4 linked regions of the Saccharomyces cerevisiae S288C genome follow. The gene in region 4 interacts genetically with the main gene of each other region. Each region holds a gene or a part of one and is shown on either strand. Other genes may lie near its edges.

Region 1 (4,757 bases), on a different chromosome or scaffold from region 4:
GGTCATTACTATCCAGTTGAATCTCATCAATGGTAAAGGGTAAAACGTTTCTGAAAAGAATCTGTCCGGAAGAAACGTTAAACGAAGAAACTAAGCAGGAAGTTTCGGTAGGGTTCGATAAGATGAGAACCCTGTTGCGGTCTCGAGAATCAGGGATGACTTTCTCCCAAGGACCTAAGTTAGCCAGTTGCCAATCAGTGATAAATGCATCATCTGAAAAAACGGCTTGGACACAACTCGTGTTTAGGAAGAGTAAAATGAAGACGTACACCAAGTCTGTACACGTTATCTTCATTGCTATGGGGGAAGGGGAGGATGAAAGTGTTGATATGAATGTAGGTATTAGTTATTAATGGAGTGTATATATATATATGTTATTATATATTTGCATATATAATATGAAATCCCAGCCATATTTTCTCTGGTAGCCGTCTGAAAAATCACGGTGTACGAAGAAGGATTTAATATACGCACGGTACAACTAAGCAATCCGCAAAGACCTAATGTGTCTTTTCATTAGTGAGAGCCTTGGGGGTAGGCCCTGGTAACGGCTGGTCCGTGCTAGTGGGTGTCTTGGTATGGGAGGGCATGGTAGTTGGTATGAATTTGATGCTTAGCGAAGTTTCTAAGGCCAAAGTCATCCATGGATCATAAAGCGATCTTATTGTATCGAGATCAATATCTTGCGGGCCTTTCGTGTCATGGGGCAAAATGACACCTCGGGAGAGTGTGGTGCTGGATCTCTTCTTTACTGGTGCGGAAATGGAATCTCCCGAAGATGCTAAGAAATGCAGTCTTTTTTCCACATTTTGTAGATGGAGTTTTTTGGACTCGGAAAGACCTTCAAGGCCAGTAGAAGAAGACTGCGGATTGTGGGATATGGAATTGATGAGTTCAATGGAATTTTCTCTAATGTTTCTTTTATTTTGAAAAAACTCGAACATGTCCAAGTGAAATTCCATGCGATTGAGGTACTCGTTGAAAGACATGGGCTTGTATTCCAAGGGTCCGAACCATTTAATAATGGGATTCTGCGCCTCAACTTGCGCTCTAGCGAGAGCGACGCTTTGTTTGACCTCAGGGATATTTGTCGAGAGAGGAGTACCGTTCATAGCATCCTTGACTTTTATTTTGGTGGGGTCTATGCCCTCGTGATAATATTTGACAATATTGTTGAAAAACTTCTTGTCACGTACGGATTTCATTTCGTCGCACCAGGGGTCGTATTTAAGAAAGTTCAGGCGAGTAAGCTCCAACAGTGACTGAGAAAGTAGCAAAGAGCCAAACAACCCCCATAAGAGCTTTCTGACGCTGACGAATCGAGATTGGCGAGGTATGATGGGAGGAGGGGCGAGCACAATGTCACCATGGGTGGTGGAGAAGCGGTTCAAAGTTGGAAAGTCAGCAATATCCTTTTTGATTTTAGTCTTGCCATTGACAATCATTTCACTGGGTAGTTCGCCAAAGGATAAATCCGAGTGAGTGCCAGTGGCAATGCGGCGCGGTGGCGGTAGTTTGTAGAGCCTTCTCAGTCTCCAAAGGGCAAAGAAACCCACTGCAGATTGGATAGTGATTAGAGTGTATAGTCCCGGTAGGTTATCAGGAGCGGGTACGAGCGGACCCCACAGTTTTAAGCCTAAACTTGGCCTTATGTAGAATTTCTTGATATCATTATCATCTTTGTCGTGGTCATCTTGTGTGTGAGTATGGTCGGTGGAATTGCTATTACCTGATGGAGGAGTAAATACAGCCATCTTTTATTACGGTAATTGGAAAAGGAGAGGGAATGGAGGAGGATGAGATAAGTAGTTTCCTAAGCAGTAAAGCAAGTGTCCACATTTAAGTAAAAGACGATGCCATGCACTTATTATTACTACGTGGTCAATTTTCTCTTTCCCTAAGGCGTTCGTGCAGTGTGACGAATATAGCGAACAACTATTGTGTTTGAATTTTAACGTTTATCTTTTTATGATTTTTTTAAAAAAACTTCCTAGAAAATTTCTTATATATCTCTATTTAATGAAAAACCAAAGTGATCAGAATTACAATTCATCGTGAATGGCATCTTCTTCGTCAGCCAATTCAGCGTCAGCATCGGCTTCCTCAGCAGCTTTTTCCTGGGCTTCTTCGTACAAGGCCTTACCGTCGACGTCGAAGTGACCGTTTTCCTTGATGAAGTCGAATAAAGAGTCCAAGGATCTTGAACCTTGGTACACAACAGATTCGGACTTCTTACCACCTGGGTATAAGACGATTGTTGGGTAACCTTCAATTACGACGCCTCTGACATCGTTTTCAGTGTGGTCTAGTTTAGCAATCAAAACGTCGGATGTGGCGTTGGCGTAGGTATCAGCTAGTTCTTGGTAAGTTGGGGCCAATCTCTTACAGTGACCACACCATGGGGCATAGTACAAAACAAGAACGTCCTTCTTTGGGTCGTTGACGATTTCGTCATGGTTCTTACCGACCAATTGGAAGACAGAGGAATCTTGGTTCTCGAAGATCTCTTGGGACTTCACGATTGGGGAGGCATCACCTTTCAAGAAGTCCTTAACCAAAGATTCAATAGCCTTAGACTCCAACACGATCTTGTCGCTCAATTCGTCAAACGCCTCTTCAGAGAGTTGAGGCAAACCGTACTTCAAGTCTTCAGTCATGTCGTGGATGGCAAATAGAGGGAATTGTTCCTTCATGTTCAAGTTGCCGGCGTGTCTGCCGAATTTTCTGGCATCGATGCTAACAAAGTTCATTAGACCTCTGTTCTTTTTGGCCAACTCGGTAAAGAGAGGCTTGTATTCTTCCAATTCTTCCTCGTCATTGTAGAATAAGTAACCCAAAGGCAAACCGCTTTCGACGTATTGGGCGAAAACGGAACCGTCGATTTCACCAAAGTAGGGCAAGGCTTCCACTTGCAACCATTTTTCAAAAACATCAGCGTCAGCGATATCGGCTTTCTTACCGTTGTATACTACAGGCTCGTCCATGGCGGAGGGCAAGTAAATAGAAAGCTTGAAATCATCGTCTGCGTTTTCAGCGGAGACAAAGTCGTAGTCGTTGAAGTGTTTGTTGGCCATGGAGTAAAAGGTGGCGTTGAAGTCGGCGTCAATCTTACCGGATTGGACGATAACTGGAGTGACAAAAGTCTCGTTAGCAAGGTAAGCTGGTAGATCAGCAACAACGGCGACAGCCGGTTGGCTTTGCTTGATCATGAATTGGACAATGGCCTCGGCAGTTCTAGGTCCCTCGTAATCGATCGAGTTGTTAACATCGCTGTTTTTGAAAATCTTCAAGCTTGGGAACCCTGGAATGTTGTGTTCCATACACAGATCCTGGTTTTCAGTACAGTCGATCTGGGCCAAGGTAATGTTTTTCTCAACTAAAGTCTCGGCGGCTTTAACGTATTCAGGAGCCATGTTCTTACAGTGGCCACACCATGGAGCAAAAAACTCCGCAAGCACCAAGTCGTGCGACTGAATGTACTCATTGAAGGAGTCGGTGGCCAACTTAACGACAGCGGAGTCTTCAGGGGCCACAGCCTCTTGTTGGGCGAAAACAGAGGAGGCGAGCAGCAGGGAGGACCATGACAGGACGGCACCAGCAGAAAACTTCATAACGGGATAGATGTATGTTTTTCTTTATGTAGAGCTTGGCAGCTTTAAAATTACCAATTAGACATGCTGCTTGCAACAAGAAAATGCACGCGTAACAAAATATATATATATATATATATATATATGTATGTCCATACGGGTTTTTCGTTTTGTTGTGGTTGTAACAGCACAACAAAATGCTACACGGTGGCAAATTGGAAAAAGAGACTAGTGAGAGAAAAGGGAAAAAGAGGCGCCGCCCGACAGGGTAACATATTATCACGTGCAGCCCAGGATAATTTTCAGGACACGTGTTTCGAAAGGTTTGTCGCTCCGAAAAAATCAAAAAAAACAAAAAACGGGAAATAACAATAACGACAAAAATGGAAAAAAAAAAAATTTTAGACGCGGCGCTTGCACCCCGCATTATAAGTGGTGTGCCGACGGACGGTCAACCCCTTTCAGGGGGCCCCCTATCTTGGGCGTGGTGTCACACCACGCTCAAACGGTGGGCACTAATGAAAACGCGCCCATATAAATATCCGCTATCAACAGAACCCCCAACCCCCCCATCAGTGCCCAACTCAGCTTCCGTAAACCACAACACCACCACTAATACAACTCTATCATACACAAGATGTCATTCGACGACTTACACAAAGCCACTGAGAGAGCGGTCATCCAGGCCGTGGACCAGATCTGCGACGATTTCGAGGTTACCCCCGAGAAGCTGGACGAATTAACTGCTTACTTCATCGAACAAATGGAAAAAGGTCTAGCTCCACCAAAGGAAGGCCACACATTGGCCTCGGACAAAGGTCTTCCTATGATTCCGGCGTTCGTCACCGGGTCACCCAACGGGACGGAGCGCGGTGTTTTACTAGCCGCCGACCTGGGTGGTACCAATTTCCGTATATGTTCTGTTAACTTGCATGGAGATCATACTTTCTCCATGGAGCAAATGAAGTCCAAGATTCCCGATGATTTGCTAGACGATGAGAACGTCACATCTGACGACCTGTTTGGGTTTCTAGCACGTCGTACACTGGCCTTTATGAAGAAGTATCACCCGGACGAGTTGGCCAAGGGTAAAGACGCCAAGCCCATGAAACTGGGGTTCACTTTCTCATACCCTGTAGACCAGACCTCTCTAAACTCCGGGACATT
Region 2 (4,702 bases), on a different chromosome or scaffold from region 4:
GGTGATTTGTTAGACTCACATAATACTATCGACTATCAAACGTGCATTATGAAAGTTGTCCAACCAATGATTTCTAATAAAATACCCTACGCAATTTCATTGGGTGTTTCTGACGAATCCAATTTGGCCACATCGGCACAAATTAGAGACTTTATCAGGAATTTACCTTACACATTTAACAACGTTGCATCAGAAGAGGGTCATATGGCCATAGAAGTCTCATTTAAAAAGAAGCTCACGAAGAATACTCTTTTGGAAAGAGACATTGATACCGAAGACGAAACAAACCCATCAGAGGCTTTATTTTTCGTCTTTGATTCATTTGCGCCCGTCAATAATTTCCTACAAGATTATAACGACCTGATTGGGAAAATAGACTTTGGCTTGGCATTTCAATATTTTCCATTATCGGAATATAGGCCTCATGGTTTATTTCCTATTATTGGGCAGTATAATGAGAGGTCTACCTTAACAGTAGATACGCCAAGGTCTAGAGGACAAGTTTCAATGACGATCAATGGCAAACATTACAAAAGCTTCCTTGATATCCTGAGTCTTTGGAATATAAAGGGTGTCAGTTGCGGACATGAACATAATAATGACTGTTGCTTACAGTCAAAAAATGAGATGTGGTTATGTTACGGTGGGTCCGCTGGTATAGGCTTGCCGAGAATCCAAGGTATATATCCAACCGTTAGATTATTTAACTTGGATGATATTTTGGACGAAATAACTTCGTGGAAGAGGAATAGCAATCTTGTTGACGAGGTTTACGATTATCAGTACATCTATAAGGGGAAGCAATAATTTCAATGATTAATTTTGTAAGGTGAACATTGACTGCCAGCAGGATAGATGATAGATAGACATAAACAAAATATACATAACACACGGTGGTGTTTTCTTTTTACACATAATATATTTAATTCTTTTTCTTTTTTTTTTTTTTTGGTTTACAAGTCCACTGAGGGACATTTTGAGTTATCACTTATGGTCTCCTGTAGCATTATTAAAAGAATAAATATCGAAAAGTATACATACTTAATAAAAACTTCAGGCTATTAAATAAACATCAGAACACATTGAGGACAAAGCCATAGAAGTTTGGAGTAGATACGGAATTTTTATTGTATGTATATATTATATATCTAAGCATTTTGCTTTTTTTTACTTCATAATCTTTCAGAAATCATTATATTAAACGGATAGTCATTTGTTTTCAAGGCGTGAAAAAACCTGAGAGGGAAAAGAATAGGACTTTTATAATCTCTTGATGACTGCTTCAGTGAATGATGAAGTAGTAGCAGTACCAGCCAAGTCACCTGTTCTGTTTTCTGGACCTGATGCGATAGTAGACAATACTGCATTTTGAATTTGGTCAGCATGATTCGTTAGACCCATGTGGTTTAACATCATTACTGAAGATAAAAGTAGGGCAGTTGGATTCGCTTTATCTTGACCGGCAATATCAGGGGCAGAGCCATGGACAGCTTCAAAGATCGAGATTTTATGACCAATATTGGCAGATGGAGTTAAACCTAAAGAACCGGCGCTCAAACCAGAGTTCAAGTCGGACAAGATATCACCGTATAGATTTGGACAAACAGAAACAGCGTCTGTGTAAGCAGATGGGTTGGTGACCACCTTTAACACACTGTTATCAATAAGTTCAGTTTCTAAAGTAAGGTCAGGATACTCTTTGGATAGTTCTTTGGCAACATTAACGAATAAACCATCAGCTAATCTCTGGATAGTAGATTTATGTACCACAATAACTCTTGGTCTGCCGATGGCTCTTGCATATTCAAAAGCGTATCTAATGACTCGCTCAGAGGCATCTCTTGTGATCAGTTTAATAGATTGAACAACGCCAGGGCAAACTATGTGTTCGATACCAGAATATTCACCTTCGGTATTCTCTCTGATAAGAACTAAATCAACGTTTTCGTAAGTGGTCTTAAAACCTTCAATAGACTTTGCGGGACGAACGTTGGCAAATAACCCAAATGTTTTTCTCAATGTCAAATTCAAAGATCTGTGACCTTTACCAATAGGTGTAGCTAGTGGACCTTTTAGTGCAACCAGGTTTTTTGTGATAGATTGTACGGCAGGGTCAGGAATGGTCGTTAATCCGTTGACAAAGATAGGGCTAACATCACAAGATTCCCATTCTATGGGGACGTTTGCTGCACTAAAGATTTTCTTTACAGACTTGGAAATTTCAGGTCCGATACCATCACCTTCAATGAACGAGACCGTGTATTTGCCGGTAGAAGGGTTAGGTTTGCCGGTATATCTTCCGATTGAAGGTTGCTTTACAGTAGCCAAAAACCTCCTCGAGGTGTTTCTAAAAAAAGTATTTCTCAACATTATTAAAAAATATTATAATTGTTGTTCGTTCCCGATCTGTATCTTATTATCTACCAAGGTAATTCAGGTTCAGAAAAAGTGTATCCAATAATGTCATGCACTTGGAATATATATTTATATAAATATGAATAATAAATGAAAAAGAAATAAGAAAAGAGGAAAACTTTAGAAGGAGGGTTTTTCTGATATGACTATGATGAGAAACTAAAACCTTAGGGCCTATAATAAGGGACCTATGAGCTTTTCAATAACTTATATATTCTTTAACCAAACAATGGAAGTTACAGAAAATAGGAACTGACCAACCAGAGCGGCCCGTGTCATGCCCCCCCTTGCCGAGATGCGGACCGAGATTGCTGAAAGAAGCGCCGAGTATCGCAAAAGGCCCCTGGCGGGGCAACGACAATTTCTTCGCCGAACCTCGGAATCGACTAGCAGATCACAGTGCTTAGGAAGCTAAGGCTGCGTTCTAGAAGGGCTAGTGAGTCTTCTCAACCATGACTGTCGTTGTTTGTGTTTGGTTTTATGTTCACCTCTAGGAACTCTTTCTGTAGGGTCTTTGATGCCAGTATTGCTGCTGTTTCCAACGTTCCCAAGTAATTTACTAAGTCTGGGAGAAAGGGACTCTGCACTCAATGTTCTACCTTTAAAGGATCTCGGTACAGAAAGCCCATTGTTATCAAAATCTATTGGGCTAGGAAACAGTGCATGATGATGATGATGATGATGATGTATGGTAAAATTGTTGGAGTCAGAAAGTGCACGTGACCTTGGAAGCATATGGTCATCTATTGAAGGGTGCACAAAATCTTCTTCATCGGAGTCAATAGCCATTTCAGGAACGGTAATGTTGTTAAACTTTGCTACTGTTCCTGCATGCGGCATGGTGTCCTTATTCGCTTTTTCCGTATTCGGTATTATATCTGAAGCGTGTAGTATGAGGAATTCGATGACAGTTCTGGAAGCCTCATACTCTTTCGGGCACATTTCATCCTTGGGATGAGACAAAAGTGAGGGTTGTACGATGGCCGCTAAATTGCTTGCTGACATTAAATTCTTCTTTTCATTTCTTGCAAATAAATTCAAGAGCGCGGCTAAATAAAGTATTAAATGGCGATTTTGTTGTGGTAAGAGCATATAAATATCTTCGTAGTCCTTAATGATTTGTTCTTTGTGCTCATTTATTTTTGGGTTTTCTAATATTGGATTTCTAAAAATGTCGTATAATGCTAGGGGAACCAAAGGCTCACTTAATGAGTTCAAATATCTTTTTAATAAAGTTGCAATGTCATGAACATTGAAATCACACCATCCTTCAAATTTACGACCATAATCGGGCGGTTTAGAGAAAACAGCTTGTAGCTCTCTAACACGTTTATTGCTTCCCGCAATACGGAAAATTCCTGTTGTGTCTAATGCATTCTCTTTTAGGTATTTCCCACTTTTTGCTATTACCACCGGTATGGAACCAATTTCATTTGTACTTTTTTGGATAATTACTTCCTCTTGAGCAACTTTCAGTGATTCCTCGAGTGAGACGCCAAATACTTTACCATCAAATTCGTTTTGCAAATTAGTAAAGGTGTCCCTATCCTTCTTGCCCTCAACAGAAGACATTGAAGATGACCTATTCTGTGGAGAACCCTCTTCAGAAGAAGGTGTAGAAAGTAGATTCATGTTAAACATTCTATTTTATGTTGTGTAATAAGATATGTCCAGAAATATACTATGGTTATTTATGTACTCTTTCCTGTGTACGCGTTTCGATTATTTTGCAGGTTATATTATATACTGCTATCACATGCTAAAACAAGAGTATCTAACAATGGGAACACAAAGCAAGTATTGATTTACTCATTCCAGTTGTGTAATTTTCTTCTAAAGATGTACTTAAATAAGAAGAAAACAATGATTGTCTTCGACCTCAACGCCTCGAACCAACGCTTTCCCCAATAGCGAGAGAAAGTAAGTAACCGGAAAATTAATTACCTCTTTCTTTCACCTGCAGGGGCTGAGGTGCTTCTGTTAGTGCGCCTCTAGAAGTATCGGCCATAATGAGATATATACTTTGGTTGCCCCTCCGGTTTTGAGGGAGTTTTAGCCCGATGAGGCTGGTCCTCCCCTCCAAGGATTTTTTGTATTTCCTATTTCGCTCTAATTATAGAAGCACCAACATACGGCGGGGTATAAACCAAACAATAGCCGCGGAAGCCCAATCTTCTTCTCCTTTTTTCGTAAACGGATAAAAAGCTATGACCAAGAGCCAGGTAAGTTATACGTAATACTACCTCAGGACCGATGTCATTAATGAATTATAATGGTTTTTAATAGT
Region 3 (4,883 bases), on a different chromosome or scaffold from region 4:
CCCCCTCTTCTAATGGCTCCAAAAGCAGTTTTAATTTTAGCTTCAATAATAGCTCTACGCCGAGCTTCTCCTTTGTTAATGGCAGTGGCGTGAACAATCTGTACTCCTCGTCAGCAAAATACAACTCCAACGATGAGGACCATCATTTGGATAGAGGCCCTGATATCAAACATAATCTAAAGTGCACATTGAAGGAACTCTACATGGGTAAGACTGCAAAGTTGGGTTTGAATAGGACAAGGATTTGCAGTGTTTGTGATGGGCACGGTGGTCTAAAGAAATGCACTTGTAAAACATGCAAAGGGCAAGGTATTCAAACCCAAACTAGGCGTATGGGACCTCTAGTACAAAGTTGGTCTCAAACTTGTGCAGATTGCGGGGGTGCCGGGGTTTTTGTCAAAAATAAAGATATTTGCCAACAGTGCCAAGGTCTTGGCTTCATTAAGGAGAGGAAGATTCTACAAGTCACCGTTCAACCGGGATCGTGTCATAACCAACTTATAGTACTTACGGGCGAAGGTGACGAAGTTATTAGTACTAAGGGAGGCGGTCACGAAAAGGTAATACCTGGTGACGTCGTTATCACCATTTTACGTTTAAAAGATCCGAATTTCCAGGTTATCAACTACTCCAATTTGATATGTAAGAAGTGCAAAATCGACTTCATGACCAGTTTATGTGGAGGCGTAGTTTATATTGAAGGGCACCCTAGCGGTAAGTTGATCAAACTTGATATTATACCTGGCGAGATACTGAAGCCTGGTTGTTTCAAGACTGTTGAGGACATGGGGATGCCCAAGTTTATCAACGGTGTTCGGAGCGGTTTCGGTCATCTATATGTCAAATTCGATGTGACGTATCCAGAGAGACTGGAACCTGAAAATGCTAAGAAAATACAAAATATTCTGGCTAATGATAAATACATTAAAGCAGAACGTTCCACCATGGAAACCGCAGATTCAGACTGCTATTGCGATTTGGAGAAGTCATATGACAGTGTGGAAGAGCATGTGTTAAGTAGCTTTGAGGCCCCTAATTTAAACAATGAAGTTATTGAAGACGACGACCTTGGTGATTTGATTAATGAAAGAGATTCTCGGAAAAGGAACAACCGTCGATTCGACGAAAGTAATATTAATAATAATAATGAAACGAAACGAAATAAATATTCTTCACCGGTAAGCGGTTTTTATGACCATGATATTAATGGATATTGAAGGTTATATAGTCATGCAGTAATGTTATACATTTTCTATTTTTATTTTTTGTATCAGTACTCTATCTATAAGGACATTCCTTTTTTTAAGCAATGCGGAAAGATACGCTATTCTTCCTGTGGATGGTTTACCGCGGTTTGGGTGGTAATATCATTGCAGCCCTAGTCCTTTAGCAGTTTTTTTAGCGTGTAATACATTGTTATTCATCTTTTTCTTAGTGCCTGCCAAGAGATCGTGGGAGGTTACTTAACAGAAAAGCAAAAAAAAAAACCGATTAGAATGTGCATGCCGTTGTTACAGAGAAGCAAGGGAAGTTCACCACTGATCATATTTCTAAGTTCATCAAAATATCGTTTTGGTTTCAGCAGTAGGGATCTTTAACCCAAGTGTTCATTTTCTTTCCTTTTTGCTTTTTATTTGAATGATCTGAACAAAAGGAGAAACATATACTGTACTATTGCGTGAAAACGAACAGAGCACAACCCTCAAGAAAAAAGAGAACTACCCCTTAGTTCCATCTCATTTACTTAAGCAACACTTCCTAATTATTCTCTAATCCTAATAAAAAAAAAGAACTGATGTCGCGGGAGGCATTTGATGTACCGAATATAGGTACTAACAAGTTTTTAAAAGTCACACCTAATTTATTTACCCCAGAGCGATTGAATTTATTTGATGATGTCGAACTATATCTTACGTTAATAAAAGCATCCAAATGTGTCGAGCAGGGAGAAAGGCTGCACAATATAAGTTGGAGAATTCTGAATAAAGCTGTTCTAAAGGAGCATAATATTAATCGATCTAAAAAAAGAGACGGCGTGAAGAACATATATTATGTGTTAAATCCAAACAACAAACAGCCAATAAAGCCAAAGCAGGCAGCAGTAAAGCAGCCACCATTACAAAAGGCCAATTTGCCTCCCACAACGGCAAAACAGAACGTTTTAACTCGGCCAATGACATCACCAGCTATCGCACAGGGTGCTCACGATAGATCCTTGGATAATCCTAATTCTACAAACAATGATGTGAAAAATGACGTTGCTCCAAACAGACAATTCTCCAAATCTACTACGTCAGGGTTGTTTTCAAATTTTGCAGACAAATATCAAAAAATGAAAAATGTGAACCATGTTGCTAATAAGGAAGAACCACAAACTATTATCACTGGTTTTGATACAAGCACTGTTATAACCAAGAAACCTTTACAATCAAGACGCTCAAGATCACCTTTCCAGCATATAGGAGACATGAACATGAACTGCATTGATAATGAGACTTCCAAGAGTACCAGTCCTACTCTTGAAAATATGGGAAGTAGAAAATCCTCTTTTCCTCAGAAGGAATCTTTATTCGGAAGGCCAAGGTCTTACAAGAATGACCAAAATGGTCAACTGTCACTTTCGAAAACATCCTCTAGAAAAGGAAAAAACAAGATATTTTTCAGCAGTGAAGATGAAGATTCCGATTGGGACAGCGTTTCGAATGATTCAGAATTCTACGCTGATGAAGATGATGAAGAGTACGATGATTATAATGAGGAAGAAGCAGATCAGTACTATAGAAGACAATGGGACAAGCTTTTATTTGCCAAAAATCAACAGAATCTTGACTCAACGAAATCATCTGTTTCATCAGCGAACACAATCAACTCAAACACATCCCATGATCCCGTACGAAAAAGTTTACTCAGTGGACTATTCCTTAGTGAGGCAAATAGCAACAGTAATAACCACAATACTGCACATAGTGAATACGCTTCTAAACACGTTTCGCCGACTCCTCAGTCCTCTCATAGTAATATCGGTCCTCAACCGCAGCAAAATCCACCGAGCGCTAATGGTATAAAACAACAAAAACCTTCTTTGAAAACAAGCAACGTGACAGCTCTAGCATCGCTATCTCCCCCGCAACCATCCAACAATGAGCGGTTATCGATGGATATACAAAAGGACTTCAAAACTGATAATGAGTCCAATCATTTATATGAATCTAATGCTCCGCTAACTGCTCAAACTATACTGCCCACCGCCTTATCTACTCACATGTTTTTGCCAAATAACATTCACCAACAACGAATGGCGATTGCCACTGGTAGTAATACGCGACATCGTTTTTCGAGGCGGCAGTCGATGGATATCCCATCCAAGAACAGGAATACTGGGTTTTTGAAGACCAGAATGGAGATCTCTGAGGAAGAAAAGATGGTACGTACAATATCACGGCTTGACAATACGAGTATTGCAAACAGTAATGGAAATGGTAATGATGACACCTCTAATCAGAGAACGGAAGCACTGGGGCGTAAGACGAGTAATGGAGGGCGAATATGATTACTAAGTTAAATAAATCAGATACAGTATTTAAAGTTCTTTCAAAAAAAGATAATGTCATATATTTTACTATCTACGCAGTGAAAGAGTTCCTTCTAATGACACACTATTCACTTCGGGTAACGGATATTGTGTACTGAAAAATATAAAAAATTTTATCCCGGAAATGCGATGAGATGAAAATGCATGAAGTAGCGTATATATTGATTGCATGAGGTTGGACTTGAAAGGGCATATATACTCGGTTTTATCATTGATTCAAGTGTTCCCATAAATAATAAAACAGTTAAATCGAAATGCTAAGAAGACAAGCCCGTGAAAGGAGAGAATATCTATACAGAAAAGCGCAAGAATTACAAGATTCTCAACTGCAACAAAAACGTCAAATAATTAAACAAGCGCTAGCTCAGGGGAAGCCATTGCCAAAGGAACTAGCAGAAGATGAGAGTTTACAAAAGGATTTCAGATATGACCAAAGTTTAAAGGAGAGCGAAGAAGCAGATGATCTACAGGTTGATGATGAATATGCTGCCACAAGTGGTATAATGGATCCAAGAATCATCGTCACAACATCTCGTGACCCAAGCACTCGTCTCTCGCAATTTGCCAAAGAAATTAAACTGCTATTTCCAAATGCTGTCAGGCTGAACAGAGGTAATTATGTGATGCCAAATCTAGTGGATGCTTGTAAAAAATCCGGTACTACAGATTTGGTGGTATTACATGAACATAGAGGTGTTCCAACTTCTTTGACCATATCACATTTTCCACATGGACCCACTGCACAGTTTAGTTTACACAATGTTGTTATGAGACATGATATTATAAATGCTGGTAACCAAAGCGAAGTGAATCCACATCTAATATTTGATAACTTTACTACCGCTTTAGGGAAAAGAGTAGTCTGTATTTTAAAGCACTTGTTCAATGCGGGGCCCAAAAAAGATTCCGAAAGAGTAATCACTTTTGCGAATAGGGGTGATTTCATTAGCGTTAGACAGCATGTATATGTGAGAACAAGAGAGGGAGTAGAGATTGCCGAAGTTGGTCCTAGATTTGAGATGAGGTTGTTTGAACTGAGGTTGGGAACTTTAGAAAATAAGGACGCTGATGTTGAGTGGCAGTTGAGAAGATTCATAAGGACTGCCAATAAAAAAGACTATTTGTGAATTTTTTTATAGATTTGTAAAGGTTAAAATAGAAGGCCGATGAGGCCTTATGTAAGTCTAATATGGTATTCTTAAAAAAAAAAAAAAAAAAAAAGCGTCTTAGAGGGAATATAAGAGAAAAGAAGAGATAGCATAACACATGATTTATTTTTATTTTTGCGTTT
Region 4 (4,812 bases):
GAGGAAAACTAGAATGATAGTTATCGAAAATGCAAAAGCTCAGTGTGATGTATTATTATATAGTTTTTCTGCTGTTTGACTATAAAAGAGTAAGAATATTCTAAAAAAAAAAAAAAAAAAGCTTCTGCGGAAACGCATGATTATTTGGTCATCGAGTCAATTTTATTTTCCAAAGAATCAATCTTCTTTCGTTGTTTTTCCAGTTGTTCTTTCAAATGGCGTAGTTGCTCCTTCTCACGCTGCCTAACGAAGAAGTCTTCCGTGGCCCTTTCCCTTTTAACAAACGAATCCTCTGAGCCTGACCCTCTTGGGGTGCCGGTAGAACCTTCAGAGTAGAACCTTGCGGCCACACCGCGCTGTAATTGCAATGAGCGTGCTAATGCTGAACGTGGTAACATATTCTATTGTGGAACTGTATAAAAGTGTGCTGTAGTAATGCGTGTAAAATGCACTCCTTTGGGATAGCAAAAACAAATTCAACCACGAACAAATTCAAAGAAAGTTTTAAACAAGATACAACAAGTCAAGTTATGAACCCCTCCTTCTCTAACGATTGTTAACGCCTTTTCTAGCCCCAAAACCTCGTTGCAGTGGAAAACGATGGGTGTCAGCAACTAGACAGTTGATTGGCATAATTGTGAATATCTGGATATTTGGTACCCGCAGCAGCCTCCCCTTATTCTGCCGCGAATGCGCGCGTCTGATTGGCCCGGCATCACGGGAGAGTAAATCTTCTTCTTTTAATGCGTATCGGACAAAGTAGATGGGAAAAAACATCATTTAGATATGTAGATGTAGATGCTATATATCGTATGTAATAAGTGAAAGAACATAATGTAATGGTTTGGGAACGTTAGGCGGATGGCTTAGTCCGCTTGGCGGCGGGGATGGTGGCCAGTTCCGGTACATCGCTGTCATTCTTCTTGTTCTTTTTTGCAGATAGTACTTGAGGAGTGCTGACCTCTGCGTGGAAGTTCTTGATGATAGAGTCAACATCATCGATATTCAGCGATCTGACATCACCCAGCTTCTTAATCTTAGCAGTAACTTCCTTGATTTGGTCATCCGTCAAGTTCAAGTTCAACTGGTCGACTCTGGCTTTGATGGCGTTCCAGCCAGTTAGTCTGTTGGCGAAGTGGATATACCTCTTCATACCGAAATCGTGAGGGTCCAAGATTTCGTAGGTAGATGGGTTAGCCAAAATGGCCTTGGCATGGATACCTGCTTTATGTGTGAATGCACAGAACCCGGTGATAGGGTTGTTGAATGGAATGTTAACTTCCACAGCATCAGCGACCAGGTTTTCAATGTCTCTGATCTTGTGCAACTTGTATTTGGACTTGACATAGTCTGGTGCGGCAACAATCATTCTTGCCATGAGCCCACCTAGAGGAGTGATACCGTTTCTTTCACCAATACCCAGTACACTGACGTCAATCAATCTGGCACCACCTTCCAAAGCAGTGTAGGCGTTTGCAATGGCACAACCAGTATCGTTGTGGAAATGGCATTCGATGTCACATGAAACAACACTCTTCAAAGTTCTGATCAGTTCATATACTTGTCTTGGGTTGGCACATCCAACTGTGTCGGCAATACCGACTCTATTTACACCGATCTTGTCAACGGTTTTATAAATGTTCAAAAGATCAACGAGATCACTTCTGAAGGAATCTTCAGAGGAAAATCTGATTTCAATACCTTTGGATTTGACAAATTCAATGACTTCAACAGCACTCTTGGCGATGTAGTTCATATCCTTACCGTGGGAATATTGTCTTAAAAATTTGGAGGTGCCGATAACGACATCGACACCGTCGACACCAGTCTCTACGGCGACTTTGGCGTCATCCATATGACAACGAATGTGTGTAAGGATCTTGGCCTTTAAACCTAGTTTACATATAGCTTCACAGTCCTTTCTTGATTGTTCAGATGCTACTGGTGAGGTTAACTCGATGTAGTCCACACCGAAATCGTCCAAGGCTCTAGCAATTTCGATCTTTTTTTCAGTATCGAAGAATGCGTTGGCAAATTGTTCACCTTCTCTCAGCGTCGAATCGATTAACTGGAAATTATTTACATTAGAAAGATAGTCGCCCGGTTTGGCAGCATATGGATTTGGTTTAGCAGCAGTCATCTTTAGGAAAACAATACAGGGTCCTTCCTTTGTTTGTTATGTAGATAAGAAACAAGAATAAACTAAACGGGAACATATCAAATACACTTTATCGATAAGCAGCCAATATCATTTATATATATCATCATCGGGTATTTAAGCAGGTGTAAAAAATGGCCAGCGATGAGGCCCTTAAAACTTGGTAATAATATTACTCACGCATCATCGTCAGCAAGAACCTAAAGCGCAAATTAAATTATTGCCTATTGCTCTAATGTCGTCGTCGTCCACTACCGAAGAGAAAATTCCCCAGCAATTTTGGTCATATTTTTCAACCATGAATAAGGGATAGTGGGACAAGGCCAGGCCATTGTGACATTACTCATTTTTTTGCCACTTGCAACGCTAGTAACGCCGTATCCACAGAGAAACCGGGAGTGGCGCGAAGAGATCTTTTTTTTCTTTTACTACGTGTGATCCTCTAAAGAATTCTTTTTCTCAACCTAGCAAAGTAACCCACGCTTAAACTTCCTTGCAGAGAGTTCCCGTCGGAATTTGTTTTTTTCTTACTAAAACTACGCAATATTCCGGCGGAATTTGACGCAGACGTAACATCAGTCATCAGTTAATTTAGAATAACGATGAGCCAGCTGATCGGGTACTGTGGACGGAGTTTATAAGGAAGAGAAAATGCTGAGTGCATTAGTCATAAGAGAGGAGCGTGATCTGTAATTCCCTCTGCCTGTGCGGATCACTTCCTACAATTTATTTTGTAAAAGAGAGCACGTCTGTAGTTTCAAACAAAATCACCAACTGTGCTTTGTTCGAATACCCAGGGAACTGTTTGTTCGTCGAATCGAGATAATAGCAAACAAGAGTCTCGGTTGAGTAAACGCTCATAGACAAGAAACTAGGAACATGGCTAAAATCTTGCATCGATGTAACATTAATATAAATAGTTTGCAGCAACCGATTTACACAAAAACTGAATCTCAAGCGCACGCAGTATACCAAATTTGGTTCCTAGAGTTTTTTATATGGGCGGCTAACCTTGGAGAGATCAAAAAAGTGTACTTAACTACGAATGACATTTTAGAGGGTTTCAAGCGTATTATAATGAGATAATCTTTCAGCTGGTAGCAATTATGGTCTAATAATTTTTCGTTTATTCGGCCCTCAACCATTTGTTGAGCTTATACCGATTTAGAGCCCATAAAACGTCGTGATAATCCGCAACTTCCACGCTACCACTTTCCACCATCTATCAAAAAAAATAAGAAAATTACCATGTGTAACAGCTCCTTCCATAATTTGAAGCAGGCTGTGTTTATTCAGTTCTTCGTTTGTTTTTCTTACTTCAACGCTCCTTGTTCGATAGCTTTATTTTCTTGTTTTTCCTCCACTTTTGGATGGATGGACTTGACGGCTGTCTCCGCCGGGGAGTAAGCATCGGGCATTGTGCCAAGATAGTATCTAAAGGGTGTGCTATCTGGCACAGTTTCAGTTACTAGTTAGCCATGAAATTTTTCCTTTTCAACGTAGCAGTATCCATATCATTGCTCTTCATCGATAGAATCATTTTATCACAATACCAAAACTTCATCCGGTGTATTTTAGATTAAAGATGATACGTTCAATATTTATACCGCCAACTAGTATAACTGCCACTTCTCGACTGTTCTACGGAATGAGGGCGTATTCAACAAAACTTGAAAAGGCTTCACTCCAAAAATATCTGCATGATCCTGTTAAAGTGACTGTGATACCAATAACGGACAAAGAATCATTCATTTACTATAAGCATACCGATAATCTCTTTAATAGTCAGTCTAGAATATTAAAAGCAGAAAAGTGGATCGTTGAGAAATCAGCAAAGCTTTGGAGAAAACTGAAAAAGTCCCCTAAATCGTATAATAAAAAAATAGTGTCCATGGTGCAGTCTCTGTTAAATAGCACACCCTGGTCAGAAAATAGTCTGTTAACCATACCAAGTGAAAGCTATATATTGAAGAGAATTAAGGGAGAGAAAGATAAGACCCAAGAGATTCGACTCACATTGAAAGATTATACCGTAAAGGCAGAACAGGTCGATACTCAACCCTTACACGTGTATTATCCCCCTGGAATTTCTAGCCCTGATGAGTGCTTGAGACAAATGAAAAAGCTCTACCAAGAAGGCTTAATTTATCACAAAAAATGGACTTTATATTGCCTTTTAGGTCTCCCGCTGACAATTCCTCTAATTTTAATACCGCTTATACCAAATGTTCCAGGGTTCTACCTATCTTATAGAGCTTATGTTAATATCAAAGCTTACCTTGGTGCTAAGCACTTGAAGAGTCTACTGGAAAGTTCAAAACAAAATTTAGAATTCAGGGAACTGTTGGGATATACGGAAGTATATAAACGTGGGACCAGCAGCCGTACGCAGGGCAATCAAAAGGAATCAAAAGGTGCACCAGAATTACTACTTAACAAGAAAACCCTTCCGTTGATCTTAGATTTCTTAGAGGTTCATGAACTAGAAAGCGACTTGAACAAAGTCATCCTTCAAGAATCGAAATCTCAAGAGAAAAACAAAATTTAATGTAGATTGTCCACTATCTCATGTAAATATACATAACAGGTATTCCTGAGCGTTCGAAAATTAGACTGTACTTTTCTGATGCGCTCCCGTACACCTTTGACATATA

What was found.
Region 1: mutations in LYS20 (region 4) and MGR1 together harm fitness more than expected from each alone (negative genetic interaction), as found in Saccharomyces cerevisiae (2 studies listed by BioGRID).
Region 2: mutations in LYS20 (region 4) and IDH2 together harm fitness more than expected from each alone (negative genetic interaction), as found in Saccharomyces cerevisiae (3 studies listed by BioGRID).
Region 3: mutations in LYS20 (region 4) and MKS1 together harm fitness more than expected from each alone (negative genetic interaction), as found in Saccharomyces cerevisiae (2 studies listed by BioGRID).

What each region holds. Positions count from the first base shown.
Region 1 is NC_001135.5:46,611-51,367, forward strand, and holds MGR1 (Mgr1p), read right to left. Parts: upstream 1,755-4,757; coding exon 501-1,754; downstream 1-500. Other genes in the region: EMC1 (Emc1p), read right to left, coding at 1-295; protein disulfide isomerase PDI1, read right to left, coding at 2,043-3,611; YCL042W (uncharacterized protein), read left to right, coding at 3,974-4,333; GLK1 (glucokinase), read left to right, coding at 4,228-4,757. UniProt on the Saccharomyces cerevisiae protein: Component of the mitochondrial inner membrane i-AAA protease supercomplex required for mitochondrial inner membrane protein turnover. Together with MGR3, functions in an adapter complex that targets substrates to the i-AAA protease for degradation.
Region 2 is NC_001147.6:577,918-582,619, reverse strand, and holds IDH2 (isocitrate dehydrogenase (NAD(+)) IDH2), read right to left. Parts: upstream 2,371-4,702; coding exon 1,261-2,370; downstream 1-1,260. Other genes in the region: SIA1 (Sia1p), read left to right, coding at 1-807; GTPase-activating protein BAG7, read right to left, coding at 2,827-4,056. UniProt on the Saccharomyces cerevisiae protein: Performs an essential role in the oxidative function of the citric acid cycle. Also binds RNA; specifically to the 5'-untranslated leaders of mitochondrial mRNAs.
Region 3 is NC_001146.8:481,761-486,643, forward strand, and holds MKS1 (Mks1p), read left to right. Parts: upstream 1-1,795; coding exon 1,796-3,550; downstream 3,551-4,883. Other genes in the region: APJ1 (Apj1p), read left to right, coding at 1-1,217; snoRNA-binding rRNA-processing protein IMP4, read left to right, coding at 3,847-4,719. UniProt on the Saccharomyces cerevisiae protein: Negative regulator of Ras-cAMP pathway. Involved in transcriptional regulation of galactose-inducible genes.
Region 4 is NC_001136.10:130,765-135,576, reverse strand, and holds LYS20 (homocitrate synthase LYS20), read right to left. Parts: upstream 2,141-4,812; coding exon 854-2,140; downstream 1-853. Other genes in the region: INH1 (ATPase inhibitor), read right to left, coding at 141-398; MRX19 (Mrx19p), read left to right, coding at 3,744-4,706. UniProt on the Saccharomyces cerevisiae protein: Catalyzes the aldol-type condensation of 2-oxoglutarate with acetyl-CoA to yield homocitrate. Carries out the first step of the alpha-aminoadipate (AAA) lysine biosynthesis pathway.